4 linked regions of the Elephas maximus indicus genome follow. The protein of the gene in region 1 purifies or fractionates together with the protein of each later gene. This does not show direct contact. Links are inferred from orthologs where the notes say so. Each region holds a gene or a part of one and is shown in the gene's direction. Other genes may lie near its edges. The genes, in order: ARID4B, SUDS3, SAP30 and SAP130.

What was found.
Region 2: the proteins of ARID4B (region 1) and SUDS3 purify together in Homo sapiens (affinity purification with western blotting; 3 studies listed by BioGRID, with this or other methods). This does not show direct contact. The link is inferred for Elephas maximus indicus from reciprocal best matches to the Homo sapiens genes ARID4B and SUDS3.
Region 3: the proteins of ARID4B (region 1) and SAP30 purify together in Homo sapiens (affinity purification with mass spectrometry; 5 studies listed by BioGRID and IntAct, with this or other methods). This does not show direct contact. The link is inferred for Elephas maximus indicus from reciprocal best matches to the Homo sapiens genes ARID4B and SAP30.
Region 4: the proteins of ARID4B (region 1) and SAP130 fractionate together in Homo sapiens (co-fractionation; 4 studies listed by BioGRID, with this or other methods). This does not show direct contact. The link is inferred for Elephas maximus indicus from reciprocal best matches to the Homo sapiens genes ARID4B and SAP130.

The regions. Positions count from the first base shown.
Region 1 is NC_064842.1:28,988,814-28,997,150, forward strand, and holds the start of ARID4B (AT-rich interactive domain-containing protein 4B), read left to right. Parts: upstream 1-5,088; 5' UTR 5,089-5,213; exon of another isoform or gene 5,214-5,520; intron 5,521-6,338; 5' UTR 6,339-6,387; coding exon 6,388-6,393; intron 6,394-8,337. UniProt on the Homo sapiens protein: Acts as a transcriptional repressor. May function in the assembly and/or enzymatic activity of the Sin3A corepressor complex or in mediating interactions between the complex and other regulatory complexes.
Region 2 is NC_064840.1:15,882,169-15,890,570, forward strand, and holds the start of SUDS3 (sin3 histone deacetylase corepressor complex component SDS3), read left to right. Parts: upstream 1-5,169; 5' UTR 5,170-5,354; coding exon 5,355-5,496; intron 5,497-8,125; coding exon 8,126-8,195; intron 8,196-8,402.
Region 3 is NC_064839.1:69,620,700-69,628,560, forward strand, and holds the start of SAP30 (histone deacetylase complex subunit SAP30), read left to right. Parts: upstream 1-4,391; 5' UTR 4,392-4,630; exon of another isoform or gene 4,631-4,944; 5' UTR 4,945-5,671; coding exon 5,672-5,992; intron 5,993-7,565; coding exon 7,566-7,691; intron 7,692-7,861. UniProt on the Homo sapiens protein: Involved in the functional recruitment of the Sin3-histone deacetylase complex (HDAC) to a specific subset of N-CoR corepressor complexes. Capable of transcription repression by N-CoR.
Region 4 is NC_064824.1:15,803,854-15,811,194, reverse strand, and holds the start of SAP130 (histone deacetylase complex subunit SAP130), read left to right. Parts: upstream 1-4,032; 5' UTR 4,033-4,181; intron 4,182-4,811; exon of another isoform or gene 4,812-4,985; intron 4,986-5,944; 5' UTR 5,945-5,950; coding exon 5,951-6,062; intron 6,063-7,341. UniProt on the Homo sapiens protein: Acts as a transcriptional repressor. May function in the assembly and/or enzymatic activity of the mSin3A corepressor complex or in mediating interactions between the complex and other regulatory complexes.

The DNA.
Region 1 (8,337 bases):
ACATTCGTTTCAGTGACAGCCACTTTTTTTGAATAAAGGAAATGAAGTTGAGCTCACATACTTTCTGTTTTGGCTATTCATAGGTCTTTTTACGATTCTCTAAGTTTGGGCAGGGGACTAGGAACTTTCATTTTTAATATGGCACGTGGTGTGACTCTGATGCAGATGGCCGAGACAGCGTGAAAAGGGGAACTGGAGATGATTAACAGGTTGCTTCCATCATACCTTGGAGTCTCTGGGTGGTGCAAATGCATAAACACTAGGCTGGCAGTTAAAAGCTACCCAGAGGCACCTGGGAAGAAAGGCCTAGCAGTTGCTTCTGAAAGGTCAAACCAAAAACCAATCCCACTGCTGTCGAGTCGATTCCTACTCATGGTGATCCTATGGGACAAAGTAGAACTGCAAGGCTTGGAAGCAGACTGCCACATCTTCTGCCTGCGGGGCGGCTGGTGGGTTTGAACCGCTGGCCTTTCGGTTAGCAGCCCAGAGCTTTAACCACTGTACCACCAGGTCACAACCATGACAATCCTGTGGAGAGCAGTTCTACTCTGAAACACAAAGGATCACCGTAAGTTGGAACTGACTTGATGGCAATTAGTTCTGGCCCATTATATCTTAACATGGTCTACTGCTAAATAAAAGGTTGGAGGTTCAAATTCACTGAGAGTTACCTAGGAAGAAAGGCATGGCTATGCTGCTAAAAAAACGGCCACTGAAAACTCTACAGAGCACAGTTGTACTGTGGAACATATGAGATCACTGTGAGTCGGAGTCGCCTTGATGACAACTGGTTTTTCCATCATACCACGATATAACCAAAGAAGGTGTGGTGGTGTTTTTTGTTGTAAAAGACTCAGGATGTGTTCTTCAATTTCTAAAGTAGTCTTACTAACTTCATAATGTTTAATACTAAACTCCATCTTTTATAACCCAGTCATCTCAGACTATGACCTCATCATTCACACTCACTGAGACAAGGGAATTCTAGTTCTGTTTCTCCTTCCTGGCATTAAATTAGAAAAGTAAAAAATACTTAGGAGGGCAGAACTCATCTGATGCCGAAGTACAAGTCTTTTCACCTATTTCAGTACATAACATACTGGTTTGTATTCATGCTGGTGAGCAAATCTGAAAATCTTGAAGTAAATGCTGACAAAGTGACCACAAAAGTAAAACAATTTCCAAAATCTCATTATTAGTGCTGACATTTCACCGTACCAGTACGATTAAAAGCTCAGTAGAGCTAAGACCACGTTCTTGTTGCTGCTGTTAGGTGCCACCGAGTCAGTTCTGATTCATAGCAACCCCATGTACAATAGAACAAAACACTGCCCAGTCCTGTGCCAGTCTCACAATTATTGCTATGTTGAGCCCGCTGACATAGCCACTGTGTCAATCCACCTCACTGAGGGTCTTCCTCTTTTTCACTGACCATCTACTCTACTAAGCATGATGTCCTTCTCTAGGACTGGTCCCTCCTGATAACATGTTCAAAGGACGTAAGACGAAGTCTTGCCACCCTTGCTTCTAAGGAGCATTCTGGCTGTACATATTCCAAGACACATTTGTTCGTTCTTCTGGCGGGCCATGGTATATTCGATATTCTTTGCCAACACCATAATTCAAAGGCATCAATTCTTCTTTTGTCTTCCTTAAGGACCACCTTAAGCAGTGAAAGTCTGGTACCTAATGTACTCTGTTTCTTGATAGGCAACTAATACAAGGGTAAAAGGATTGAACCACATTCTCTTATCATGTACTTATTTTTCTGCAGTAGAATGAAATGTGTAACATGGCAATAGGAGAAAAGAATAAAATACCTACATTCTTATGCAGTATTAGGCATGTGGAAAGCACGTGTCGAAGGCTGACTAATAATACCCACAGATTATCATCAACTGTACAAGGGCTTTCATGCTTCCATGTAGTGTAAAACAAGCATGGGTTGAAGAAACATTGAGAATCTGATGAAAGCTATGAATTTTCCTCCTCAAAAAAACCAACCAACCAACCTTGCATATATGTGAACATACCCACATAAAGATATACACACACCACAAAACTCTACATATAATTTCTCAGAGATCATGTACCCCCCGAATCCTTTATATGTGCCCCTGATGAATATCCACAGCTACAGAGTATCTTAATCTTTAACGCTAAACAAATATGCATGTCTACATGAAGTATAAAGCAGCTGACATAAATTAAAAAAAAAAAAAGTTTAACTCCTACCGAGAGCAGATTACAACTGGAAATAAAAACATGAAAATAGTATATAGTTTAGGTTACTCTGTAGGTTTGAAAGCTGTGTTTTTGTAGTTTATCCTTGATCATCTTTGTGAAACAAACAAAATCAGCACTTCACCAGGAAATCATTTTGCAATCTGAATAGAGAAGCGTTCCAGACAGAAAATTTCTGTATCTACCTTGACTAGCAATTAATACTAAGTATTAGTATTTTGGGGAGCTTTTGGGGTCACAAGGTTAAAAATGCTCAGAAAGTATTTTGAAATGATTCGAATGCCAAATTAGTAACCTATTACCCATACTGTTTGACAGCTATCTCTGGCTTTGATACAGATTATCTCATTCTTAGAGATCACAGAAAAATGCCAATTCTTCCTAAACAGGTACAATAATTGCTTAGGTAAAAGATTATTGAAGAGAATTAAAACAATTCGAAAAGCATCTCTCATCCATTTCTCTATTTAACCAGTTAGCCATCTCTTCCCAACTAGGTTGAGAACAAAAATCATGTCTGTAACTTTTTCACAGCCTCCAAAAACCCATTAAACTTAAAAATCAATGAAACTAAATTTCAAGAGTTCTTTTTCGTTTCTGTCTGGATCAATAACATTGCAACTGTTATTGATCTAGAAATGAGAGCTAACCTTTGTTTCAATTCTTAGTGCTTTGGTTGATGCTAGTTCTCAATTTAAAATACTAGTTATACATTTCAAAAAGGTGTTCTTTGCTTATTCAGAGAAGTAAAAGAATATTCAACAAATAAGTCAATCTTCCTTTCCCAGAAGGATTTTTATACACAATTATCCTCAGCAGCAGGAAAACACAGGAACCTCAATTTTTTAAGTACTGAAAATCCAAGTCTTGTATCTTCTTCAGAGTCGAAGTAGTATTATGGACTGTGGCAATGCATTGTGGCATACGGTCTGACCTGTCTGCCCCTTCCCCCCCCCGCCTTTTTTTTTACTCAAAGAACTCCAATTTGTCACAGTTGGATATTTCAGTTACCAGTACTAGACTTAAATGTAAAAGAGACATTAGTGTGTTACATGAATTCTACTACTTTATTTTCGGGTGAGTAACTACAGAATACCTCTGTGAGACTCTCAAACTACTCCTCACTTTCAAAACTGAAAAACTGCCTTAAATCTGTTCAAAATGTGGATCAATGAAAATTAATATGAACAACAGACTCTCTCCTCCGTGTGGACTACTACTGCAATGACCTCCTGGTTGGGCTCCCTGCATTCGGTGGCTTGTCTAGTCCTCTACTCTTCAGTCAGTGATCTTTGCAAAATTCAAATCTGATCTTATTACCCGTCGGGATGCGAATCCTTCAATGATACCGCATTACTTTTAGGATAAGAACAAAACTCTTTAACAAAGCCTGTAAGGTTATAAGGTTTCCCCCCGCCCCAGCCCCATACTGGAAAAGCTCCTAAAGCTTTGCAACATGTTAATGCCTTCTGTCTGTAATGTTTTTTGTTTCCTTAATTAACTAACGTCTGCTAACCCATCAGCTCTCAGCTCAATCCTCACTTGCTCGAAAAGCCTTCCCTTATCTCCGTAAACCAAATTCCCTACTACAAATTCTCACATCACCATGCAACTTTTCTCTGTAGCACTTACCGCAGTCGCAATTTTACAGCAAGTTGTGTGTCCATTTTATTTAATGCTTAGTCTGTCTCACTACTTAGGTCCATGAGGTTGGGCACCATACCAGCTTTTCCATATGATAGGGGCTCAATCAATATGTGAAGGACCGATGCATGGAAAGTGCCTTTTAACGCGCTACAGGAGCAAATGAGGGCACAAATTTGCGCATTAAAAGTGAAAATATCACGCTTTTTTTTTTTTAAGGAAAGCGTCTGGTTTCAGAGTTGCTAAATTAGAGACATACAAATGTGAAGCGCAGCATGAATCCTTCCACCCAAGTCCTCGGGGAACGATGGGGCTGAAGAAAATCACCTGACAGATATAGGCAGGGGATATAAATAACTTTGAGGCAGATTTTCAACAAAATCTAGGTAAAAGAACTTCAAATCTTTACTCTGCCTAGCACAGGGGTCTTTAGGTTTCTGCTTCCTCCCCGCTCTCCTGCTCTCTGCCGCCTCACTCTGCCGGGTCTCAACCGAAAAGATGGAAAATACACAATCCGGTTCAGCATCCGGGTCCTCGCCCCCCTTTCTTTCCTCTCTGAGCCCCGCCTCCCCCGCCCTCTTCACCATCCGGGTTCCCCCCAGCCGCCACCGCTGCCGCTCACGGTTAAACGATGATATCACGACTTTCACGCCGCCGGTCCGGTAGTAGCTGTACCCAGCATTAACTTCCCACTTTATAGTTCAGACCACGGCTCCTCCCGACGCCTACTTGAGGCCCTCCCCTACTTCACAGAATTCTCCGCCCTCCTCAGCAGCCAGCGACCCCGCATTACTCGGTGCAAGAAAATGCGCCATCCCGGTCACACTGCGCAGGCGTCGTTGCCGCCTCCCCACTGCTTTGTCGCACCCGCCCCTTTCTCCCCCTCCCGTCTCTCGCAGGCGCGGGGCATTGCGGGTGTTGCAGTTCTCTGGACTAGGGGCTTGCGCATTGACCTCAGAGGCTGGACTACATTTCCCCGGAAACTTTGAGGCATAACTTTCTGTTTCCATAGAACTGGTGGGAAAATGGCGTCGGTGTTTGTATCGCAGAGACCAATAAGAAGAAGGTATAGGCGGGCTCTAAGTAACTCTAGCCAATCCGAGGTCGTCTAAGAGGCCATCCGGGAAAGAGGTAGGGGAGGGGAGAAAAACCAAGGGGCGGGGTGAAAGGAGAGGAGAAGCGGGGGGGGGGGGACCTGAGGTTGGTGGGGGAAGCGATGTTTGCCCGTCAGTCGAGTCCGGAGTGAGCAGCTCGGGCGCCGGAGCGGAGGGTGACTGCGAGCTTAAGCTTGCGGCTACCACGGCCACTGCCTGGTCCTTTGCCCGGTGAGAGCTACAGAGGGTCCACTGCTGCCGTCCTCTGGAGGGCAGTGCGATTGGGGACCCGGACCTCCAGTCCGAGAGGGATTTTTCGTCTTCCCCCTCCCCCCCAGCGAGGGAGCCCGAGCGGCCGCCAAACAAAGGTACCAGTCGCCGCCGCGGGAGGAGGAGGAGCCGGAGCCTCAGCCTCAGCAACCGCTGGACCTGCCGCCCTTCTTCCCCCATCTCTCTCCCGGGCCTGCTGGTTTTTGGGGGGGAGGAGGAAGGGAGGGGACTCTGGACGTGCCAGGGTCAGATCTCGCCTCTGAGAAAGGTAGGGACATTTTGGGGGCTTTTGGGGTCTCGTAAGGGAGCCTTTTGGGAGTCACGGGGCCCGGTCGAGGAGCAGGAGGGAGATCGCCGTGGTGGTCTCTCAGCGGGCTCCCGAATTCGGGGCCTCTTTTTCCCGGGAGCCTCCGCCCCCCCCCCCACCGCAATTGCGGAGCCCGAATCGCCCATGGCCGAGCGGCCGCAGACTCAGCGGTTTAGCGGCCCTCGGCCGCGGTGGGGGGCCCGGCCGGGGGGGGCTCCGTCCGAGGTCTCCGGTCCTCACGCTGTCCCCCGCGGTGTGGGCAGGTGGTGGTCTTGCTCCCGCTTCGCAGGGTCCCCGGCCCAGGAACGGGCCGCGGGCAGAGGCTCCTGGGGGGAGGGGGAGCCCTGCCGCGCGCGGCCCCTCGGGTCGGCCGGACTTCTTCCGCGCCCCTCTCGGTCTCCTCCTCCGGGCCGGCCGCTCTTCGGCTCCGACGCGGGGCTGCGGGGCCCTCAGGGCAGAGGAGCAGCGCGGCGGGGCGAGGAGGCGCCGCTGGGAGGGCAGGCGACTCGGCGCCGGACTCCGGGCTTGTTGTGAGTTTCTTCTCTGACAGAAATGGCGTCATTGTCGGAGACGGGAAACTCCGTCGGGTCCTGACAATGGGGACGGGAAGCTGCCGAGCGGTGTAGGTGGCTGGCCTTGGGGGGACGGTGGGGCCAGAAGGAGCCCCGAATCAGCGTTTAAAGGTGTCGGGGCTGAGGCTTTACTCTGTCCCCTGCGTCTTTGCCGGCGCAAAGGGGGGGTCTGAAGTGCTGATCGGGGGTCTTTTGTTTCCCCTCCAGGTGCAGGTGAATCTGGTGTTTTCGAGGGGATCGCGGCCCCGGAATCACAATGAAGGTAAGATTGGCTACTGAAAACAAACCTCTGGGGGGTAGAACTCAGGAAGTAGGGGATTTGCCCGAGGTCGTCGTGTCGGGCCTCCGAGTTTTGCAGAGGAAGGTGTGTTTGGTGGCTTGGTGCCCATGCCTTTCCGCGGGAGACGATGGGGGTCAGCTGGCGTGGATCGCTACATCTCAGAGGCTTTGCTGCCGCCTGGACACTTGGGCCCGTGAGTTGGAGTCAGTGAGGGTGATTCTTCTAGGTAGAACATCTCCTTTTGCAGGGAGGGACAGGAATAACTGCACGAATTAGAATGTTTTAAAACGTAGAACTGAAAAAGCAGGTCAAGTAATCGGTTTCTAGAAACTGAACTGTTGTGGTTCTGTCGGTTACAGTGATGAAAGAAAATCTTATTTATTGTTGAACGGTATTGCGAATTTTTAGCAGAAAATCTATTTCATTAGCGAGAAAATAATCTTGATTGAAAGGTTTTCAAAGAGAATTTTGGTGATCTTTCCACAGTTCAGAGATAGCAGTTGTTCCTTGTATTTCTAGGGACTTATGTGTTTTATTTTCCTTTATTGATCCAATTTGTCTGTAAATTGTCCGATGCTGTATTGCTTTGTGATGTGTGGAAAATTGATGGCCAGGTTTCTCTTAAATGTAAACAGGTTAGCTGAATGGAGGATGACGGTGTCTGAAAAGTACAGTTTGCTTAATTGATGGAAGAAATGATAACAATAAAAGTACAGGTGGTGGTTTTTCGGTTTAGAGAATCTGTAATTGAATGCTGTCTGATTTTTTAAAATACACTCGAGAATAAAAAGCCTTAGATATCTGAAATGTCTAGATTCAACTGGTGGAATTTTGAGGTTAGCAGATGTTTTTTTCATCCGGTGCATACTGAGAAATGCTTGAAAAGGGTAGAGTGTGTTCACAAGTGTAGAAATGGAACAGATAATATGTTAAAGTGTAACTGTCATTTACTTTTGAGTGTTCCTTTGATGAATTATTTTTAAGAATGTATTTCACTTCGAAATCAAGACCGGTTTTACAGTACTGCATCTGGATTAAAATTTGTAATGCTTGTGTTTATAGAAGAAAGTAAAATCTGTGGCTGTTGAGACGTTTGTATCTGCTACAGACTTCTCTGTGAGCCCAGATCGGTTTTTTCCTTGAGTTTGGGTGCTGTAAACTCCTACATGGAACAGTTTTTATCTGCTCAGTTCCTGTATCAGTGATGTTTCCGAAATGAATCTTTTGTTAGTTGCAGATAGTAGCTCCAACTCCTGTGACCTGTGTAAAACGGTGAAAAGTGGATTTATTAGGAAAACCGTATATCTTCCTTAGTGTTGGACAAGAATTTTTTAAGAAAACTGTTGGTTTGAATAATATGTGAAGTTGAGGAGCTCAGTAATACGGGTTTAGTTTAGAATAAGTGTCATCTGTCCCAGTTCCCAAAGGAGTGCTTGACACATCTTAGGTTCTCTGTAAATGTTTGGTTAAGAGAAATGTGGGAGGTTGAAGGTGTTTAGATTTAACATTTCTTTTTCTTTCTTTTTTTTTTTTCACTTGTCTGTTTAAAAAAATGAAAGTATATTGGAAATTTTAGCCTTAAAAGTTTCATAGTATTAGGCAAATGCAAATTTTTTGGTATTATTTTAGAACTGTTAATTTTAAGTGCTCAACATTTCCATTCTTATCTGCTTAAAAAAATCAGTAATATTAAAAGGAAAAAGTTATTAAAATTTCTAATTTTACACAACGGGGACTTTTTGCTGTTATTAGTAATTCTTTTCTTTGGGAAGAAGATAATCACTAGTACTAATAAGTTAGCTTATTTTTTTACAACTTAATGTTTGTGTGGTAAAAGATGAAAAGTTGCTCATAACTGATATTTTTTTAGGCAAAATTACAGATCAAGAAGTATCTAGTATTGGTTATATTGGGCTTAAATTATTT
Region 2 (8,402 bases), on another chromosome or scaffold:
CAGGCTCCCGCCGAGCCCTCCCGGTGGTCTCACCCCGGTCGGCGGCCCCGCGGGTCCCCCTCCTCGGGGACGCAGCTTCAGGCTGCTCAGCGGCGGCGCGTTCGTCCCCGGGGACCAGACCCGCGGCCCGCAGGGTCCCCCTCACCGCCGCGCCCAGGAGCCCCCTTCGAGAGCCCTTCACCTCAGACCTGTTGTCGCGGCCCCTCTCGGGGTCCCCTGTCTTCAAGCTCGCTGTTCCTGTCCCCTGTCGGGGACCTCTCCCCTCAGATTGGCCGTCCCGGCCCCACTCGGAGTACCCTTCCCTCACTCTCCGCCCTAACTCCCCTCAGGGACCCCTTCCCTCAGACCCACCGTCCCGGCCCCTCGCGGAGTTCCCTCTTCAGACTCTGTTCTTGTCCCCTCGCGGGGACCTCTCCTCAGCCCCGCTGTCCCGGTCCCTTCCGCGGAGCCCTCCTCTCAGATCCTCTCTCCCGGCCCCCAGCCGAGGTACTTTGCTCTCACGCCTGCTGTCCCGGCCCCTCTCGGGGTCCCCTCCCCGCAGACCCGCTGTCCCGGCCCCTCTCGGGGTCTCGTCTCCTCAGTCGGTCCTGTCAAAGCCCCTCCCGGAGCTCCCCTCACCCAGGTCCTGGCTGACCTCACTCTACCCGTGGTTCCCTCGCCTTGGTTCGCGCTGTCACCGCTCCGCGCCCCGGTGCTCTCACCTCAGATCTGCTGTCACCGCCCCCGGGCCCGGCGTCGCCGCCGCCGTCGCTTCCTCTCTCACACTTGTTCCCGAGTCGCTCTTTTGCGGCTTGTCCCCCGGAGGATCCCTGGGTCCGGTCGCTGAATGCCGGGTTCGGCCGCACAGACTCTCCGTCCCCAGTCCTCGCGTCGGGTCCCACTCTTGCACGCAGAACCCCGCTGCTGCTGCTGCTGCTGCTGCTGCCGCTGCTGCCGCCGCCGCCACCGGGCGCCACACGGACCCTATCGCGGCCGCCGCCGCCGCTGCTGCTGTCCGAGGTGCGGCTCCTGCCAGGGGTGGCCAATCGCACCCGACTGCGCCGAGCGCGCTCCGCCCCACCTTCCCCAGGCTGCCCGCCCCCAGCTTCCAGACCACGCCCCTGCTCGGCTCCGATAGGCTCTCTACTGACCTTCCCTGATCGCGAGGCACAGGGCTGGGGCCAGATATAGGTACTTGACTGAAGGTGCCTGGGAAACGGAGCTGTCGATGGCACCTGACGATTGGTGGATTCCACAGAGGGCGGGCCGGGGCGGGGCGGGGTGTCCTCAAACCCGGAAGACGGTGTAACTTCAGTTACTCATGGGGCTTGATGGGGTGCGGTCGGCCTTGTTTGCGCTGCTTTGGAGGTCAAAGTTCATGTCACTCCTCCCAGCGCCTTAACTTTTCCTGGGAGGCTCCCAGAGGCCAAGGCCCATTGGGCTGCCCGGGGCCACCAAGGTAGAGCCTTGGGAGATGTCCCTATTCTCCTGCTAGCCCTTGCACAGCTATCTCAGTAATTATACCGTTAATTGATATGGCATTTATTCGCCTAGGACTTCAAAATATTTTCTGGATTTAAACCCTTTTATTTCTCTGGCAGGGGAATTGCCATTCTTTCCATTGCGTTCAAGACAAGTCAGCTTAATGCTGCTGGAAAAAAAGTTTTTTATATACTAGATGTATACAGTGCTTAAGTGTTCAGCCCTGCTGGTGCACACTCTGATAGGTACAAGGACGAAGCTTTAGAAATACTTTGTGGGTTTATTCACTTTGCGAGTTTTGATCTTGTGGTATTACAGCAGTAAGGACAGGAACCGTGTTAGGGGGTTAGGGGAACCCTTGTTAGCTTCTAGCAAGCCTCTGGCAAGCCTATCCAGAAACTCAGATTTTTACCGATTGAACTAATGGGCAAAGTATAAGGCACTTTGACCCCACAAGTAACCTGTGATAATCAGAGACCCATCTTGACCCAGGTGTGCCTGCCAGGGATGAAAGTGCATTATGTTACCCCAGAGCCATTCCTTGTATTTTTGTGAAACCGGATATGTTGATCGCATCAATACTGGATACTGATAACTGCTATCCTCACCCCTGAGCTCCAAAGTAAACTTAAGGACTTGGACAAACGAGTGTTTAACGAAGAGATTATTTCATTTCGAGAAGGTATTTGAATCATAAGCCTTGTCAGATGTATACAGGCTTTAGCCCTCAGAAAACTCTATCAATTCTTTTGGTCCAGTCAGCGGAAGTTTAAACAAAAAATTAATGATATAGAGTTTTCTGAGGGCTAAGGCCTGTATACATATGTATCCGTATACATATGGTTTCCCTAGTGGTCATAAATCATGCCCTATCCCCGTTATGATGCTCCTCTTTAAATTTCAGTGTTAAGAGTAGGCAGAGGAGGCCTGGAGGCACAAAGCATTCTGGAAACGCCTAAAAAAAAACCTAGCAGGACTTTAAGTCAAGTTCTGAAATAGTAGATGTTTCCTAAGCAGTGGCTGAGTACTATTTTGGGAGGGGAAACAGCTGATTTGAAGGTAGAACTTGGTTTTGAGGGAATTTAATTACGTCCATAGTCTTCATAGTAAATGACTATAAAGGTGGGGTTAGACCAAAACCATAATTTTTTGCCAGGTGTCCATTCGTTAAAGATCATTTATTAGTTGAGTTCTTCCTACCAATTCTGCAGAAGGGAACGTGGACAGAAGACAGTAGGGGTAAGTTTTCATCACTCAAGTGTTCAGTTGTGTCTGTTCATTACGTATAAAAAGAAATGCATGACAATCAACAGATGTTATTTACAGTCAGGAAGATAAAAATAGGAATAAAACATCAGCAAGATAAAAACCCCAGTGTCTACAAAAGAAATCAACTGTAAATGAAATTGTCTATTTTTTTGAAATTCATTATACAGTGAAACCTGTGAAAGCCGGAATGACGGGACTGCCTTGTTTTTCTGGGAATAGAAAGTTTTTCACCTTTGATAGAGAGCAGTCTTACCACTTTTCTTTTGTTCCTTTTAGTGGAAAATACTTGCATTTCCCTTCTCTGACAGGTTTCTGCCTTATACAGTTTTCAGCTTTCGAATGTTTTGCTATTTTAAAGAACTCTAATTTTTAAAATACGCATGCAAAAGCTGGACAATAAATAAGGAAGACTGAAGAAGAATTGATGCATTTGAATTACGGAGTTGGTGAAGAATATTGAATATACCATAGACTGCCAAAACAGCGAACAAACCTGTCTTGGAAGAAGTATAGCCAGAATGCTCCTTAGAAATGAGGATGGTGAGACTTTGTCTCATGGATATTGGAAATGTTATCAGGAGAAGGTAGAGGTGTGCGAAAAAGAGGAAGACCCTCAATGAGATGGCTTGGCACTGTGTTTACAATAATAGGCTGAAGCATAACAACAATTATGAAGATGGAGCAGGGCGGGGCAGCATTCCATGATGCTTTTTTGGTCTGATTGTTGCTACTGATAGGAACTCAAGTTGCTCAAGATGGTTGATTACAAATATTTTAGATGTGATCCAACAGCACACAAAAAGAAAACGACTTCATTCTTTGGACAACAGACAGCCCTGAAATTCTAATTTAAATATAGATGGCGGACCTACAGCCAAAGAATGATTCTTATTTACAAAAAAGAAGATCCCTGAGTCCCCCAGACTACTAAAAAATATGGCAGCATTCTATTCTGGAAATTGTTGAGTTTTGTTGGGAGGAAAAATCTCTTACAAATAGAGCCAAGATTTTAATTGAAACAATACATAAAATTAAAATAAAGTTAAATGCGTTGAGAATAAAGTTTTTAATTTTTAAGAGACGATGGGGCCAATTCAGAGAAAAACCTGATTACAGAGAATCTAAGAATCAGAATATTATTGTTCCTGCTTGCCTTTTAGGAGCCTTGGTGGCACCGTGGTTAAGTGCTTGGCTGTTAACCCAAGGGTAGGTGGTTTGAACACAGCAGCAGTTGAGAGGGAGAAAAGATTTACAGCCTTTGACACCTTATGCGGCGGTCGCAGTGTGACCTATTGGGGTTGGAATTGACTGTACGGAAAGGGATTTTAGTAACGGGTTTAACTTTACTACTTTTAGATTACTTTTTCTACTGAGACGTGGGTAGCAATATAAATTAGGTTAGGGTTTTTCTGTTAGCTTTCGCGAAACTGTTAAACATCTCTGGACCCTTTTCCGTATTCCTTTTCTTGCTACACACTAGAACACACGACTCTCAGAAAAATGGATACCCTAGATCTGTACATGAACCAAAACATAATACTATATCGCCTTCTACTCAGAGGGAATCACACAAACTAATTTACCACTTCAGTCAGCGTTCTTGTTTCCCGAGTTCCCACAAGGGACCTTCCTTACTTTAGCCAAATTAGTTTTCTGTAGGCAAATACACCACTTGGTTATTTGAGAGTTGATTAGCAAGTTATTGCATTGGGCAATATAACCTTTTAAAATATCAGTATTCGAGGAAATATGAAGCCACTGTACTCTGGAGGGCCTGGGTTTGGGAGTCTAAACAAGGCAGACTGGACGCAACCACTTTTTAAGGCAAGTGATGTATCCTTTCTTATCTCTAAAACCAGGTGAACACCTTTTTTGGATAAACCTGTACAAAGACAAATGGCTCCCACGGGCTGAGAAAATACTGTTGCGGAACCCAGGATGGAGTATCAACATCCTTTATTTTAGTTGTTAGAGCTCCAGTGAGTCAGGAGAAGGGCTTGGGCTCATCCTTCTGGTCACTCAAACTCTGGATGTTTGGGTTTCCCGACTTATAAAGGGTACGGTTCATATGATTCACCTGCTTACATTAAAGAGCCCACCTCCACCTGCCAACAGTCCTTTAAATCCTCCGTCCCCCTAGGACGCTAACGACTCTCACTTTAGTTCCGGCTCCAGGCGCCGCCTGGCGGCTATTACTGGACGTCGCCTCTGCGCTTCGGGGTCCTGGCCGCAGCTAGGCCTGTCCATACATTTGCCTAACTCTAGAGATCGATCCTGCCTCTGCTCTCTCGCACCATAGTGTTGAGGATTTTTAGGCGGCGATGAAGGGGCTGGTGCTTAGGCGAAGGAGGCGTCGCAGCGTTCGCCGCGTTCCCTCAAGCATGGCGGAGTCAGGCGGTCCTCGGACAGCTCGCGACCCGGAAGTCGCCGCCGGCGCGAGGCCCCCGTTGCCGAGCGCGGGCGATGGGGGCGGAGCTCGGCGGAGACGGAGGTGGGGGCGCCTTGGCTCCCGCTGCTCGAGTTGGCGGCCCCCTCGGGCTCTGCTAGGTGGACGTCAAGTCCCCGGGGCGGGTGGCCGCGGTCTCCCGGCGGTACACGCTGCTGCTGCCGCTGCTGCGGGCGACATGAGTGCCGCGGGGTTGTTGGCTCCGGCCCCGGCCCCGGCTGGAGCGCCGCCGGCCCCGGAGTACTACCCGGAGGAGGAGGAAGAGCTGGAGAGCGCCGAGGACGACGAGCGCAGCTGCCGGGGCCGCGAATCGGACGAAGGTGCGTCCTCTTGCTCGCCTGGTAGCCCGGGGCGGAGGTGGTACCCCGGGGGTGCGATCGGGGTGTATGGGAGAGGGGCAGGGCGACCTCCGGGGGCGCAGGGCCGGCCAGGGGGGCGGTTGGGGGGAACGGGGCTCCGGGTGGTTACCTTCACCTGCGCTGGGGAAGGGGGAAATCCCGGGGTACGTTGTACCCTACAGTTACGGGGAGGAGGGAGATGTTGTCAGAGCCGGAGGTCCCTTTAAGGTTCTCCCTCCCACCCCCAACCGTCCGTAGTGGAGCCTCGGGTCTGCACCGAATGGAACGGGAAACCCACCCATGGAGTGCATCGAATACGCCCCCTTCCATTTTCGTTCCTGAGAGGATTAGAGCAAAGCCGAGTTTGGCTTCCTGGTTCCTAACTTGCCCCCCCCCCCGCCCCGCCCCATGTCTAAATCAGCCCCATTTCGGGCACTGTAGACACAGGTTGGTTAAAAGAACAGGACTTGGAATCAGCCAGATTGAGGTTTAAATTTGACTGTCACTTAACCCAACTTTGTGATCTTCAACAACTTCCCTAAGCTCCCGAGCCTCAGTTTCCCAACTTTAAGGGGGCTGGTAGTAGTACTTACTCCTAGGGTAGTTACGCGGTTTGAATGAAATATGTCCGTGAAGTACTTGGTCCAGGGCCTGGTACTCAGTAAATACACAGGAGAATTTTTTTGTATTTTTTTACACCCACTGGGGAGACAGGCACGAGGAGAAATATGGATTTGCTTACTGGTGCCCAGGGGTTGTGTTTTCAATTCCGTGCACTTCACATTATGCGTTGTCGTCTCGTGGAGCCTTGCTTTTTAAAGTGGGCTTTACAGTTTGGCAAGTGTGAGGAACACTGTTTTGGGGAAGAAATTGAGGAGGGTGCTGGCTGTCTGGAGGAGAAAGGTGAAGAGACGTGAGCAGGGAGAAGAAAGAGATAAAAGAGCCCAATCCATGGGTGAAGTATTCGGGAACAATATGGGGCTGTGGAGCAAAAGCTAGACCGGCTGACTGGGGTGCGGAGTATTCCTTCTTCATCTCAGTCCCCCAGGGGCCCAGGAGCTTGGCTGGCTGGCACGTCACAGGAGCTCCTTGAAGGTCTTTTGACTGAAGGAGGGCAGATGGGTTTGTGGAGAATTGGACTTGCAGTAGCCCTTCCAAAGGTTATCTGCAAAGTTGAAGAGACCAATTGGATTGATGACTTTGAGACTAATTGGATTGATGACTTTATGAGTCTTCGGGGGAGGATACACTTTGAAAGTCTAGAAAGGGTTATTTCTTCTTTGAGGACACACTTCTCTGGATTGCACTGGTGACTGCTGAGTTTCCTGAATTTGAGTTTATTTGCCTGCTCTACAGATTTGGTTCGGGTACCCTAGAAGACAAGCCGTAACCTGGGATTTTCATTATGAGTCGCTTGCACTGCTTTTAATACCCACTAGGGGGAGCGGTGAAACCAAAATGGATTTTTTTTCCTCCAGTAAGAAACCAAACCCATTGAGGTCGAGTGACCTGGTAGGACAGAGTAGAACTGCCCCGTTGGGTTTTCAGGGAGCAACTGGTGGATTCGCATTGCTGACGTTTTTTGGTTAGCAGCCGAACGGTTAGCCACTGCGTCACTAGGGCTCCAGTAAACCCCCCCGCCAAAACCCCAAATCCATTGCTGTCGGGTCGATTTTCACTCACAGTGACCCTATAGGACAGAGTAGAAATGCCCCATAGAATTGCCAAGGAGTGCCTGGTGGATTTGAACTGCTCCTGTAGGGCTGTTGAAATTATGTAGACAGCCCAGCCATTGGCTCTTTCTAAGAACAATGTTTAAAATGTTTTGAAACAGTTTCTGTTTGATCATCTTGCCTCCTTCCTGTTCCCTGTAGCTGCAACTTTGAAAATATTTCAGTTATCAGAATTCAATTAGTTGTTTTGTCTTCTCCTTTTTATCCTTTAGAGTTCCTGGGTGGCACAAAGGGTTAAGCGGTTGGCTACCAACCAAAAGGTTGGTGGTTCGAATCCATCTAGAGGTGCCTTGGAAGAAAGGCCTGGTGATCTTGCTAAAGATCACAGCCACCAAAAACTATGGAGTACAGTTTTACTCTGAAGCACATGGGGCCACTATGAGTTAGAACTGACTTGACAGCGACTGTTTTGTGTATGTGTGTGTGTTGTATGTATCTGGCATCAGATCTCTTAAGGAGTCAAACTGGGCATGTACCAGAAGAGATGGCCACATTTGGTTTTTTTTTAGACTAGTGAGAAAGGCTACTGCCTACAGTTTCCCAGCCTTACAGCCACATTTCCCTTTCCTGAACTGCCATCTTTCTTGCTTCTGCAGAAGTGGCAGCCTTGACTATGACTGCTTGTGTCTCACGTGCCCAGTTCTCTGGCTGCACTGTAGATAAAGGATGCGCTGAGAATACCTCTGGCTGTGTATGCTGGAAATGGCATTTTCTTTTTGTGGTAACTGTGTTTAGTGTTTTTCATTGATGGCTTCACATAGGCCTTCACTGAGTAGAAATTCATTTTACAGAAGCTTATTAAGTGCTTACACCGTGTCAGGTGATACTAACTTTGTGATTCATGATTTAACTAACCCTTCTTTCCTAATTTTACTCAGACACTGAGGATGCTAGTGAAACTGACCTGGCAAAACACGATGAAGAAGACTATGTAGAAATGAAGGAACAGTGAGTAACACAAGCTCTTTCATGTCGTTTTCATATTGCTTTTCTGGAATACAGAGTTGGCAAGAAAATCTTTAAGTGACCATGTGTGTGTGGTTTTGGAGTCCCTGGGTGGTACAAGCTGCTAATGTGCTTGGCTGCTAACTGAAAGGTTGGAGATTCGAGTCCACCCAGAGGTGCCTCGGGAGAAAGGCCTGGTGATCTTCCAGA
Region 3 (7,861 bases), on another chromosome or scaffold:
GCAAGCACATGTATATCAGGGTACATGTACAAAAACTCCATGGCAACATTGCTTTCAATAGCCCTAAACTGAAACCAAGCCATATGTCCATCAATAATGTTTTTGTTGTTATTACCCATGTGTGACAAAGTAGAACTGCCCCACAGGAGTTTCCTAGGCTGTAATCTTTATGGGAGCAGATCGCCAGGTGTTTCCCTGGGAGCAGCTGGTGGGTTCAAACTGCTTTTTGGTTAACAGCCGACGGCTAACTGCTGTGACACCAGGGCTCCTTCCATCAACAATAGAATAGATAACAAAATTGTAGTTTATTCATACAATGGAATATTTACTATAATGAAAAGAGTTAGTTAAACTATATACAAGTATAGTCTTACAACCAGAGTGAATTAAGCCAAAGATATCAGAATACAGACTACATAGTTCTACTTATATAAAGTTCAAGAACAGGCAAAACTAAAAAAAATATTTTTAGGGGTAAATATGGTAAAATTATAATGAAAAGTGTCATAGTAAATACCATAGAATGATAGAAGGGAGAGGGGGTTTATGATGGGGGCCTTCTGGGCTGTCAATCAAGGCTGACTATGTAATTAAGGGGCCCAGTGAAAAATGAAAATGTGGGGCCTCTTGTTCAAAACGCAGGAGAAAAATTCTTTTTCCTCTCTTCCACAGTCTCTCTCTGGGCCTGTCATGATGTTTTCTTATCTTTTATTGATTCTTTTTAATGGACACAGGGTTTCTTACAGGTTGAATGCAGAGCTTTACGGGGGTCCAGAGCCCTGCTCTGTGACTCAGTGTGAGGGCAGGGGTGGGGAGGAGCCTGCTTACCAGACCAACACTCCTGGTGATGGTGCTTGTGGATCAGACCGATACTGGAGGGGAGGGTGGAGAAAAGCAGGGACGCTGTGGGAAGCTGACTGGTTCATCAGCTACCTGGAGTAATCTAGGGCTTCAAGCCCCAGCTCCTCCTCCAGTGTTCCATTAGACTTCATTTGTAAAACACAAACACAAAGATAAAATTATAAAGAAGTTCATGATAGTGATTGTAGAGATTAAACCCCAAGGGGGTGGGCAGTGCAGTACACAGGGAGAAGGGCCTTTCAGAGCGTGGGGCTCTGTTTGGCTGCACTGGTTGCAGGCCCATGAATCTGTTCCTCACTTGGACAGATCCTTTTCAAGCTCTGTACCTAATTTTGCCCCAGTGGTGCAGTGGTTAAGCGCTCAGCGAGAGGTGGGCAGTTGGAACCCACTAGCCCTCAGCAAAAGAAATATGTGGTGGTTGCTTCAGTAAAGATTACGGCCTTGGAAACCATATGGGGCAGTTCTACTCTGACCTATAGGATCGCTATGAGTTGGAATCGACTCCAGGACAGTGGGTACCTAATTTTGCATTGATAATTTTATATGCTTTTACTTAAAGAGGGCTCCTCAAATTATATAAGCTTGAGGTCCCCTAAAATCTGATTCCAACCTTGACTTGGAATTACACTTGAAGCAAGGAGTCCCCACCCTGCATATGAAATTTATAAAATAAATAATGAAATATGTTAATCATGAAAAATTTATTGAAGAGGTACTTTAAACCTGGTAGTAAGAATTTACATGTCACTTACTCTAGGAGTCCTTTCTACTTACCAGAGATTAATCATTCTCTCCTAGGTGCTATGTCTATACTTTTTCTCTAATTCTATGAAGGCCTGTATCATGCTCTTTTGAAACGTGCTTGTCAAGCCGTCTCCCCTAGTAACAGGTGAGCGCCAAAATGGCTAAGACCCTCTCCCAACTCTTTTTCTATCACCAGGGACTTAGAAAAGATCCTATTGTTGTTGCCTGCTGTGGAGTAACCCCATGCACAATGGGACAAAATGTTGTGCGGTCCTGGACCATCTCCACGATCGGTTATGGATCCGATCATTGTGATCAGTAGGGTTTTCACTGGCTAATTTTTCAGAAGTAGATCGCTAGGCCTTTCTACCCAGTCCATCTTAGTCTGAAAGTTCTGCTGAAACTTATGCAGCGTACTAGCAACGGGAAAGCCTCCGCTGCCAGATGTGTGATGGCTGCAGGAGGTCTTTGGTCACGAATCAAAGTGGGTCTCCCTCATGGAAGATGAGTTGTACCACTGAACCAGCGATACCACAGAAAAAAGATCCTAGTATGCAATATGCAATAAACGAGTGTTTAATTGGATATTTTAGAAAAAATACTGTATTGTGTATAAAGGAGGTATAGCCACAATTCTTGACTTTAGTAAAGTTCATGTAAAACTGATACATAACTAACCCATACATACATACGTGAACTGATTTGGTCACATTTTACAGAAGATAAATTACAAGCTTGTAAGAGCAAGAACTAAACAATACCATGAATTTTTTTTAAATGTGAATTATTTTTAAAATACATTATAAGGAAAAAGGTTAAAACCCAATATCCCACTATTATCTTTGCTATATATATATACTTACAAATACAGCAGAAATTGCCTTTAAGATTGTCTTACTTTCTTAGTGCTGTAACAAAAATACCACAAGTAGGTGGTTTTAACAAACAGAAGCTTATTTTCTCACAATTCCCAAACTAGGTTAGAAGTCCAAATCCAGGGCACCAGCTCTAGGGGAAGGCTGTCTTTTCTGGGGAAAAATCCTTGTCTCAGCTTCTCTAGTCTTGGTCCGTTGGTGATCTCCACATGGCATCTATCTTTCCTCCATGTATACTTGCTTGTCTCTGTGTCTGATCTGTTCTTTTTAAGACACACCCTACACTGACAGCAAAGAAAACCCTATTCCCAAATGTGACTACATCCACAGGTATAGAGTTAGGACCCCAACATGTATTTTGAGGGGGGACACAATTCAATCTGTAACAGTCATTCCCAGATACTATCCCTTGGTCTCCCTCCCAAGATGTGACCACCATCCTGAGCTGGGGTGTATCCATCCATTCATATGTCCTCCTTTTTACCATTTAAGAAAATATATCCATAAACAGTATGCTTTAATACTTTGAAAACAGTGTTGTCTAATAGAAGTACAATGTGACCAATATGTGTAATTTTAAATATTCTAGTAAACCCCACTGCTGTCGAGTAGCACATTAAAAAAAGAAATAGATCAAATTAATTTAATATATTTTATTTAACCAGTATATCAAAAAATATTATCATTTCAACATGTAATCAATGTAAAAATTATTAACGGACTATTCAATATTCTTTTTTTTTGTACCTAGTGTTTAAAATCCAGTGTGTATGACCTGACAGGGAACACAACAGAGAATCCCTGATGGAGCAGAAGAGCAGTGGGATGCAGACCTTAAATTCTGTAAAAAGACCAGACTTAATGGCCTGACTGAGACTAGAAGGACCCTGGAGGTCATGCCCCCAGAGCTTCCTGTTAGCCCAAGGCAGGAACCATTCCCTAAACCAACTCTTCAGACAGGGATTGGACTGGACTATAACATAGAAAATGATACTGGTGAGGAGTGAGCTTCTGGGCTCAAGCAGACACATGAGACTATGTGGGCAGCTCCTGTCTGGAGGGGAGATGAGAAGGCAGAGGGGGACAGAAGCTGGCTGAATGGACACTGGAATACAGGGTGGAGAGACAGAGTGTGCTGTCTCATTAGGGGGAGAGAAACTAGGAGTATATAGCAAGGTGTATATAAATTTTTGTATGAGAGACTGACTTGATTTCTAAACTTTCACTTACAAAAACTTATAGCACAACAAAAAGAAAAAAAAATCCAGCGTGTAGTGTAAACTTACAGCACATCTCAATTTAGATGCTATATTTAATTTTCTTAAAATTTAAGTTGAAAGGACACATTTATCTAAGTTCCAGAGATACTAAACATTTTTCCATTAACTGATTCGCGTCAGTATTTAAATTTAAATTAAGTTCGTTTTTCAGTCGCAATAACCACAAACCGCTCAATAGCTATATATGGTTAGTGGCTACCCTATTGGACAGTGCAGCTTAAAAAACACCAAGTGCTTATTCAGCATCTTCCTTTTTCCCACTCAGTTTATTTACTTTTTTTTTTCCTTTCCCATATCCTGGAACTGAAATACTACACATGAAAAGACGGCTTTGAATAACAACGTAGAGAGCATTTTCAAACATTTTTTAAAAATCGTCTTTCATTCAATGTAGTAAGTCTAAGAGAACTTTCAAAAAGAAGTCCTGTCTGAAATATTAAGTATTTTTATATAAACACTGGGATCGTTAGACAAGGCGTATCTGCTGATACAGGAAGCGCTGTAACGAAGTCACTGTAAAGCCGCAGCTTTCGTGTCAGCCCTCCCATCCTGTACCCCGCCCTCCGCATGCAGACGCGCACACACGCACGCACCCACATACACGCCCTTACACGCGCGCACGTGCACGCGCGCCGGGACGACCCAGGGATGTGGTTTCCATTTCCCCTCGCACTCCGGGGAGCTAACGCTGGCAAGTTCCTGAGGAGCCGGCCAGCCGCCTTGGCTTTGCCGTTGGTTTCACATTCTCTTAGACGCCGCCCTTTTCCGGATCCATCGGAGGAGAAATGGAAAGGATTGGAGGTGTCGGTGAAGAGCAGCCCTGCTACTGTCAGCTTGTCAGTGGCCCCACATCACGAAGCAGCTGACTTAGTGAGCCCCAAACCCAAACGTGTTCCTTGCAGGAATGTAGCAGGGTTTAGACACGGCCTTCAGTGAGGCATTTGTGAGGAGGACCGGTCAAGGGCGAGGGGTAGGGATGGGCGTTCTCCACCGAGCAGCAGATGCCCTGTTAATTGGGTGCGTGAATGGATGGGGCTGCTCTCCCCCGAGGGCCCGGAAAGCACCAGGACGCCCGAGTTCTCCTTGATTTAGGTTTCCCCATAAAGCGCGGTCACACCAAGAACTGTTGGCCACAGCGAGGAAAGCGGCCCCGAAACTCTGTTCCCTTCCCCACCCTCCCACAGGCTTACTCCTCCCGCCTCCGCTGTGCTTTGCCTCAAGAGTCGGCTGACCGCTTGGTCTGACGCGGGAGGTGTGATCAGTACACTGCCACACCACTGACTCCGCGAAATCCCAGGAGCTAACCACGGCCTAACTTCCCAGGAGAGACAAGTGCGGAGAAAACACCGTAACCGCCAATTACACGTCCCTGTTTACCCGGCGTTTCGAAAAACAAAAATAGAGTCCGAGAGCTTCCTCAGCCGGCCCGTCTCCGCGCGATGCATGCTGGGATAAGTAGTTCCTTCAACTCGCGAGGGACCCGGGCAGGGGCAGGGCGGAGCGCCGGTTGACTCCGCCGCAGAGAACTACAGTCCCCGTGGTGCTCCGCGGCAGAGTGGAGGGGGCGGGGAAGGAGGCGCGTCGCGCCTGCGCGGCTCCGGGGGCTGCAGGGAGGCGGAGGCGCGGCCGTCCAACTGCTGAAGACGGCATGTGACAGGGAACGGGATCGCCGCTCCAGGCGCCGCCCGCCTCTGAGTCCCGAACAAACAGTGTCCGCTGTCCCGGCGCCAGCAGACGCCAGCCGGCCCGGGACGCTCGGCCCTTGGCGGTGCCGCCGCCGGACACGGTGCCCAGTGAACTTCCCCGACACCCGGCCGGGCCCCCGCTGTCTCCCTAGCACCCCAGGAGGGAGGAGCAGCGGCCAGGCGGCCGAGGATTTCTGTCAGCGCCGGCGCCCCCGAGCGGGGAGACATGAACGGCTTCACCCCTGAGGAGATGAGCCGCGGCGGGGACGCGGCTGCCGCGGTGGCTGCCGTGGTGGCCGCCGCCGCCGCCGCCGCCGCCGCCTCGGCTGGGAACGGGGCCGGGGTGGGCGCTGGGGCTGAGGTGCCGGGCGCCGGGGCGGTGTCGGCGGCCGGGCCCCCGGGAGCGGCCGGGCCGGGCCCCGGGCAGCTGTGCTGTCTGCGGGAGGACGGCGAGCGGTGCAGCCGGGCGGCGGGCAACGCCAGCTTCAGCAAGAGGGTGCAGAAGAGCATCTCCCAGAAGAAGGTGAAGATCGAGCTGGACAAGAGCGTAAGTGCCGCGGGGGCGGCGGGCTGGGGGCCGTGCGGCGCGCGGGGCGGCGGGGCGGCTTGGTGACGGCGGGGCCGGTTGTGAGATCTCCGGCAGGAAGCGGGCGACACGGTGGCGGCGACGCCGACGGCCGCCCGGGACGCGCAGACGGCCGGCTGCACACGGGCACGCTGGCCGCGGGCCGCCGCCGCCCTCCGCGCGCCTCTCCCGCGCGCTCCCCGCCTCCTTCCTCTCGGGGCGGCCGGGAAGCCAGACAAAGGGCACCGGCGCTCCGGGCCCGGGAGGGGGCTCCGTGCGGCCCGGCAGCCCCTCCTGCCGTGGAGGCGCCTTTGTTTTGTCCCCAGAGCTGGCGTGGGGCCGGCGGAGCAGTTGCTCTCGTCTGGGGGAAGCGGGGTCGTGCAGGACTTTGCCCCACGCGCTAGGGCGATCCTGCTCGTTTCTGGGCTCCATGGCGTTCCCTGGAGCACCGGGGGGGGGGGGACCCGAGCCCCCCTCCCGCTCCCGCCGCCCAGCAGGGAAGCTGGGTGGGGAGCGTTTTCTGCTCCGAACGTGGGGAGCGCGTCGCCTCTCGGCTGTCCGTCCGCTGGGCAGCCATCAGGATTTCTGTTTCCCTTCTTTCTGCGCGTCTATTCTCGGGCCATCCGTGAGGTTTTTAGAAACAGCCATTGCCACTTTTCGGAGCTCTGGCTTGACGGTATATGGATAACAAGATGCCAGAACCTAGCCCACCTCCTTTATTTTTTTCAGTTGCACTTAGCAAGAGATTTAAAAGCCTATAGCTCCGTCCCTAATCGTTCTTTTTAAAGGAATGAACTGTCAATGTATGAAGCCCAGTATTTCAAATATTACTGTCCAGCTCTCAAGACTGTATGTAATTAAAGTTTTTGAAAAGTTAATTTGTGATACTTTCTGCCGGCTGAAACAGTTCTTCAAGTCGTGTTCATGAAAAACTTTTCAGGTGAATAGAAAAATTTCAGGTTGCTTTGATTGGAAAAACATTGTAGATAAATACGGTTCTTTTAAATACTCAGGAAGAAAAGTTTGTAATTGAAATTCATATATGGTTAGAATATGAAATGAGTAGCTCATTTGTAAAATGAATGTAGCTTTTGTATCTGAGATATAATTTGGATAAGTTAGAAAAAAAATCAGGAAGCATATACTAAAATATGCTATTTAAAAAGAGAAGATACTATCAAACAGATAATAAAATTGTGGACAACATCGTCTTTCCCCTTGTCAGTTAAAAATCCAGCAGTGAACTAACTAGTTAATTCAGTCCACCCTAGCTACAATTTGGTGACAAAACTCAGTGGGTTGGAATTTCTCATTCTTTCTCTGCCTCCCTCCCTTCACTGTCTGGCACCCCTCCCCCTCTGTCCTATTAGCTGTGGTTGTATTACCAAGTTTGTCAGGCTTCTAAGTTTTAGCAGGGTGGAAGAAGGGCCTACAGAAACAGTGTTGCTGTTGACTGTTATTTTTAATAACTTAGTGTGGCCCGTGTGTTTTATTGGTATGTAGACACAACATTTTACTGTAATCATAAGCAGTCGGTGAAACTTTTCTGTTACAGGCAAGGCATCTTTACATTTGTGATTATCATAAAAACTTAATTCAGAGTGTTCGAAACAGAAGAAAGAGAAAAGGGAGTGATGATGATGGAGGTGACTCACCTGTTCAAGATATTGATACTCCAGAGGTAGGTGAAAGCCCCCATGTGTTAAATGTAAACCCTAAACAGCCCATTATGAAACTTCATAAAAGATATAAGAACAATTTTTTTTAATGTTTAAAGCATCAGAAAACATGAAAATGAAAGCGAAATTAAATATACCCAGTTAACCTGCAGTTATACAATTTAACTTGTTA
Region 4 (7,341 bases), on another chromosome or scaffold:
TCCAAACAAATGATATATCAAACGACCCACACAAACTATAATGGTGTATGGTCAACATCATCTTAAAGAACTCAAGATACAATAAAGCTCTGAAACTCTGGTAGGTGCTTGAATACCTGAGGACAGTAGAAGGGACAGCTGGGGCACAAGAAGGTGTCTTCATCTCCAAACAGCACACTAAGATCAGTGGATGGGAATTCTAAATACTAGTAACAACAATGGGCAAAGCATCAGTTTTCCTTCCAATGTCCACTATGTGAGGTACTGGAGGCATGGATGAATAAAGCAGCAGAAACTGTCCCTAGTAACTAATAACAACTCAGATTTCATTCATGTACTGTGGGTTTTTTTTTAATTTTGATTGTGCTTTTAGTGAAAGTTTACGAGTCAGTCTCCCACACAAAAACTTATGTACACCTTGCTACGTATTCTCAATTGCTCTCCCCCTAAATGAGACAGCCCACTCCCTCCTTCCATATTCTCTTTTTGTATCCATTTCGCCAGCTTCTAACCCCTTCTACTCTCTCATCTCCCCTCCAGGCAGAAGATGTCGACATAGTCTTAAGTGTCCATCTGATCCAAGAAGCTCACTCCTCACCAGGATGCCTCTCCATCCCATTGCCCAGTCCAATCCCCGTCTGAAGAGTTGGCTTTCGGAATGGTTCCTGTCTTGGACCAACAGAGGGTCTGGGGGCCATGAGCACTGGGGTCCTTCTAGTCTGTCAGACCATTAAGTCTGGTCTTTTTATGAGAGTTTGGGGTCTGCATCCCACTGCTCTCCTGCTCCCTCAGGGGTTCTCTATTGTGTTCCCTCTTGTGGATGTTTTTGTAATTCTATTCAGCAAACACTTACTGAATGTCTCCTGGATAGAGAATACAAAGATAAGTCATTTATTTCCCTTCCTACTCCGGGGGAATAAAAGGCAGGCACAAATTAGTGCTGTAATAGAGATATTGAGGAAGTTCTATGGAAGTATCCTAGAGAGTAGGGGAAGGAGAGAAATGTGAGGAAGGTGTCTCAGTTACCCTAGTGCTGCTATAACAAAAATACCACAAGTGGATGGCTTTAACAAACAGAAATTTATTCTCTCATAGTTCAGAAGGCTAGAAGTTTAAATTCAGGGTGCCAGCTCCAAGGGAAGGGTTTCTCTCTGTGTCAGTTCTGCAGGAAGATCCTTGTCATAATATTCCCCTGCTCAACTATTTCAAGGAGATTCTCAGCACAGGGACCTGGGGTTCAATGGATGCACTCTGTTCCTGGCTCCACTTTCTTGGTGGTAGGAGGTCCCTCTGTCTCTCTGCTCGCTTCTCTCTTTTATATCTTGAAAGGGATTGACTCAAGACACAACCTAACCTTGTAGACTGAGTCCTGCCTCATTAACATGACTGCCTCTAATCCTGCCTCATTAACATCATGGAGGTAGGATTAACAACACATAGGAAAATGACACCAGATGAGAAATGGTGGAGAATCACACAATACTGGGAATCACGGCTTAGCCAAGTTGATACACAGTTTTGGGGGACACAATTCAATCCATAAAAAAAGGCTTCTTAGAGAATAATAATCACTTTCTTTCCAGTTAGGCATTACAGAATTGGCAGAACTCTAACTGATAGTTACTGAGGGTCGAGACCTATAGAAGACTTTTCAGGCTTCAGTAAAACCCTGGAAGACCAACTGTGGAGAACTGGTGAAAGCTGTTGTCGAGAGAGTATCCAGTGTTTGGAGAGGTAGAACGGGCTAAATTATTACAGTTTTTGGACACTAGATTTAATGGACTGGAATATATTATTAAATTATTGGAACATCATACGCAGATTAGTAATTTAGAAAAAGAACTCTCTGGAGAACAGGCTGCAAATAGGAAGATATTAGAGTGGGGGCAATATTAGTCTAATCAAGACAAGAAATGATGAAGCTTGGAGCCAGGGCTATGGAAGAGTTTGGAAAGGTGAAAAGGTACAAAATCAATCCAATATGGTGACTTTGGGTGATGGAAGAGTGGGAAACGAGTTGAAACCAAAGGCAGAAAGAATGGTGGTGCCCTTAACCAAGCCTAGGAACCAGGAGGAGTAGATAGGTGAAGCAAATCAAAGAAGTTTTTCAATATGTTAAGCTTGAGCGGCTTGTAACACAGCTACGTGAACTGGTACAGCGCTTGGAAATACATGTGAGCAATTCAAAGACAGGTCACCATACAGATAAAAAAAAAAATTGAGTCAATTAGAAGGAAGCATTTTAAATGGTTGGGAGTAGCATTAAAAGAGGTTTGGGGCCTTGGAGAGTGCCATATTTATGAGCAAAAAGAGATATAATGTAAAAGGAGTAGAAACAGGAGAGGGTGCGATTATGGAGGCCAGGGGAAGAACACCTTAAGTAGGAACACCTGTTCAGTAAACTAAACAAGAGGAGAACTAAGTAAGGATCACTGGATTTGGAGTAGGCCAGTGGCAACTTTTGGGGAGCAGTTTGAGAAGGGCGGTGGGAGCAGAATTCAACAATGAGACAGAGGAGGCTAAAGTATCTGATAGTCGTTACTTTTAGAAGAGGTTTGGGAATGAAGGGGAGAAAGTGAGAAAAGAAAGTGGCTTGAAGGAAGAGGGCAGGGTATCTCAGACTCATTCTTGCTGCCCTGAGCTACTGTCCTCCTAGCCAGCAGTTGTCTTGGCAGTGCATGATAGGAAGAAGGGATTTGAGCCCATTTATATCTTGACTAGGAAACCCTGGTGGCATGGTGGTTAAGAGCTAAGGCTGCAAACCAAAAGCTCAGCAGTTCAAATCCACCAGGCGCTCCTGAAAACTCTATGGGACAGTTCTACTCTGACCTTTGGATTGCTATGAGTCAGAATCAACTCGACGGCAGTGGGTATGGGTACATCTTGACTAAGGAGGCCTGGTGGCGCAATGATTAAGCACTAGGCTGCTAACCAAAAGGTTGGTTGCTAGCCACTCTGCAGGAGAAAAGACCTGACCATCTCCTCCCATACAGATCACAGCCTTGGAAACCCCATGGGGCAGTTCTGCTCTGTCATATACGGTCGCTCTGAGTGGAAATGGACTCGAAGACAATGGGTTTCGTTTTTTTGGTTATAGGGTGTCTATGAGTCGGGATGACTGGACGGCATCAACAACACAACAACAACACATCTTGACTAGTCACGAACCCCCCATACCTAAATTACCATCTGGGGAGGGAAAAAAAGATGGGGACTAATCTCTATTATTAAAAAATTATTAAGAGACATAAATTTTGCCTCAGCAGCTTTTGGCTACGACTTCCAGAGGTGTATAAACTCCAACCCTCCACCCCAACAAAAAAGAACCAAACAAAACCATCCTTCGATTCTGTATAATCCAGAAAAACGGAGCAGGTGCACAATGCCTCAGTTCTTTTTCAGGAGAGCCTCTCGGAGCAGACCTCTAACGGGGGCCCGGGCAAGCTGGGCAGGGTGTGCAGCTCAGGAGGCTGTGCGCCCGCCGCAGACTCCAGACGGTCGCTCAGTTCAGTGTGCACAATCCTCCCACGATGCCGGGGCTATTCTGGCCGTGGCCTTCGGGGGCGAGACCGAGTCCCCCAGGCGGCGCGGGGAGGCGGGCTCAGGAAAGCTCTCGGCCGCGCCTGCAACCCCGTCGGCCCGTTGCAGTTCAGCCTCCGTTACTCTTTTCCCGCGCCGCTCGCTTCTCCTCTCAGGAAAACGGAACCTAGTGCTGTCACGCTGGGGCACAGGGGAGGGGATTCACTATCTTCTCACACGGCGGAGAGGAGAGGCCCAAATACTCCAGACAGCAAAGCGGTGAACGGACCAGTCCCGGTTCGCCGAGAGGCCCCGCCCCGTCCCGGCACTCCCACCTCCTTCCCGGCCCGCCCTCTTGGCACCGAGGACTACATTTCCCAGAGGCCTCTGAGGCACCGAGGGGGCGGGCCCGCCTTCTCTCCACTCACACTGGGCGGTGACTGGCTTTCCCCGAGGGGGGCGGGGCGTTCCACAGCCAATAGACGGGAGGCTCGTTACGGCGGCGGAAGCAGCGGCGCTGGACTGAGGGGTGGGGGGTAGAGGGCTAGCGCTCCGGAGGCGGCGGCAGCGGGTCCGGAGCCGGAGGACGTCTGCCCCAGGGGCTGAGAGCGCAAAGGACTGAGCCCGAGGCGGCGCGGCGGCCACTAGGCGCAGGCACCTAGGTAATGGCGGGACGGGCGCCCGGGAGGCGAGGGGAGGAGACGAGGGGGCGGGGCGGCCGAACCGGGCTGCAGCGTTCGTCCGCGGCGCGTCCCCGGGGAAGGGCAGCTGTGCCTATCTCCTGCGGCTAGGACCCAGGCTATTTTGCGAGCTGGGCACGGCGGTTGGGCCGGCGACAGGGGTCGGGCGTCCCGGGGCAAGGAAGAGAGAGGCTCCCGGGAGGGGTGTGCTGAACCGGGCGTGGGGGCGTGGCGGGCTCGGGCCTGGGCGGGGAAGTGGAGGAGTCGGAGCTGCGGGCGGCGGCCGGCGGGCGGGCGGGCGGCCCGGGGAGTTTGGCTCCTGGAGCAGTTTAAAGTGACTCTCCACATCCGGGCCCTGCGCCCGCCGCTTTCAGACCCCGGCCGAGGCGGGGCCTGCCCGTGCCCCGCCCCCGTCACTGGGAGAGCTCGCCTTCCTCTGCCATTGGCTGCGGCTGGAGAGGTTTGGGGTGCCCCAGCGGGGCTCGCGCCTGATTGGCTGGCAGTCGGCGGGAGGGTGGGGCGGGACCAGAGCGCGCAGGCCGCTTTGGATTGGTGCCGGCCCTGGAGTGACGCGCGCGGTGTGGGGGCCAGTGGGCGGGCAAGGAGGGTAGGGGCAGGTCCGGGGTAATAGGACTGGGAGCCTTGCGGCGGCCGAGTGACTGGGTGAGTGGGGCCGGCTGGGCTGGACAGCGGCGTGCCCTCGGCGCGCTCCGCACGAGCCCTCTTCGCGCCCCCCGGAGACCCGCGCTGCCACCGGGATGGGCCCTCCACGGCACCCCCGGCCTGGTGAGATGAAAGCGGGAGGTGCGGGCGTCAGCTGCAGGTAAAGGGGCAGGCAGGTCGTCCTGGGGCTCCCCAGGATGCCGGCCCTCCCGGCGAGATGGAGCCTCAGAGACCCGAAGTTTCTGGAAACCTGTGTTTTCTTTGATCTCAGCGATGGGCTTGGCGATGGGGTAGGGTTACAGGCGAATCGGGGGAAATCAGTGGAGCTTGCCCGTAGGGGACGAGCGGAGGACGACTTGAATGGAGGCGGTGAAGGTCTTTGGTCCTTTTGGCTTAGTGGAGGAATATGAAAGAAGGGAAAAAAGGAAATCTGTCAGTAAAGGCCTTTGCCTTGTGAGAATTCTTTTTGGATCCAGTCTTGATGAAAGTTTCCTGATCCTTTCAGGAAAAGGCATCTCTGTCCCAAATCTCCTCTGTCATATTGACTATAGTTCTGTACACCTTGGTGTGAGGTTTAACTTTCAAAAAGACTTGTCATTCTCCATACAACTGCACAGATAGGTACATATGCATTCTGTTAGTACCTGCCATGTGGTTGTAGTACAGGATTCTATGTTGATTTTTTAATCACAGCAATCCGTAAGTATCTGTGGAGGATCATAGTATCTCACTAGTACCAAACCAAGCCAGTTGCCATCAAGTCGATTCCGACTCACAAGGAATAGGACAGAGTAGAATTGCCCCATAGAGTTTCCAAAGCTGTAAGCTTTACGGAAGCTGGCTGCCACATCTTACTCTCGTGGTTAGTATCCCACAGTGTTATACAAATGATTTTTATTATTAATTGAACATGTATACCTTAAAAACTTAGGTAATTTCAGTACTGTATGTCGATCACAAGTATTTTTTTTTAAATAATGTATTTACTAAGTGAAGATATCATGGGTCACTAAAGATGCTTTAATTTTCCGTTACTTTAACCTCAGAATCCGTCAATAACCATGTGACTGTATGTACTGCAGGTGGAAATGAGTTCTCAACAGTTTCCTCGTTTAGGAACCCCTTCCACTGGGTTGGGCCAAGCTCCTTCACAGATTTCAAACAGTGGCTCTGCAGGATTGATAAACCCAACTGCTACAGGTAAGATGTTTAACATTGTGCATTGCTTTCTGCATTAAGAGTATTGCTAGTTTTCTAATTTAAAAATTAGTAAATACCCTCTGGGGACTTAACAACAAAAAGACAAAGAACTTGATCAAAAAATATGCAGAGGACGTAGTTCACCAAAGCAGATGTTAAGATGGCCAACAAGCACATGAAAAGATGCTCAACATCTTTAGCCATTAGGGAGATGCTATCCAAACTACAGTGAGATACCACCTCACCCCCATCAGAATGACAATGATGCAAAAAAAAAAACAGAAAACAGCAATGTTGGCAAGATCCATTGAGAAGTTGGAACCCGCATCCTTTTGGGTGGGAATGTAAAATGGTGCAGCCACTCACTTACCTGGCTAATTCTTGTTCTTGAGCTTTCATCTCAGATGTCATCTCTGGGAAGTCTTTGCTAACAACAATTCAAGTTAGGACCTCCCCTAGACTGAAGGCTGCTCAGGGATTGGGACCATGCGTCTTTGAATGTACTATACGTAATAAAATACAGAGCACAAAGTAGTGGTCTGTAAGTTCTTACAGAGTGACTTAAAGCTCTTTTACTCCTTAACAAATATTTTTGACAGTCTTTGGGATAAATTCACAACAGAATAAAGGAACATAGCCGAAGATAATATTTGTGAACACTTTTTTTTTTTACAAGGAATTATGCTGCTTATTAAAAATGGAGTTAATTACTAATAATTGCCCCCAAACTTTGATGGCTCAATAAAAGGGAAATCATTGACTTAGACCAAAATTGTCTATAATTTTACTTCTGAAGAGTATATATGTATAAATGTTTATTCTTTAAATTGATCTTGAAAACAGAGTATAGAAGTTTTTCATAAATAGGTATTTATGTTTCCCATTTTTTTTAGAAGAGCCAATTTGGGATCCTAAGCTTGTGAGGATTTCAAGTGCATACTTAAAGTTAGGAAGTATGGATTAAAATGAAGTTAACTACTGCTTTAAGGTTCTTTTCTGGTAAAAATGAACTGCAGAATGTCCAGGAGGAGATGACAAATGGATCTTAAAAACAACTTAAGAGGAAATGATCACTACTTGTATATTAATGAAATAGAGACAAATCAAAGTCATTCTGGACAAATAGATTTTGAGGAAAGTTATGAAATTGTTTTCCTTGAGAATTAATTAGGGGAACATCTATTTGGATAATACCAAAAAAACCAAACCCATTGCTATCAAATTGATTCCAACTCATGACAGACCCCCATGTGTTACAGAGTGGAATGGCTTCATAGGG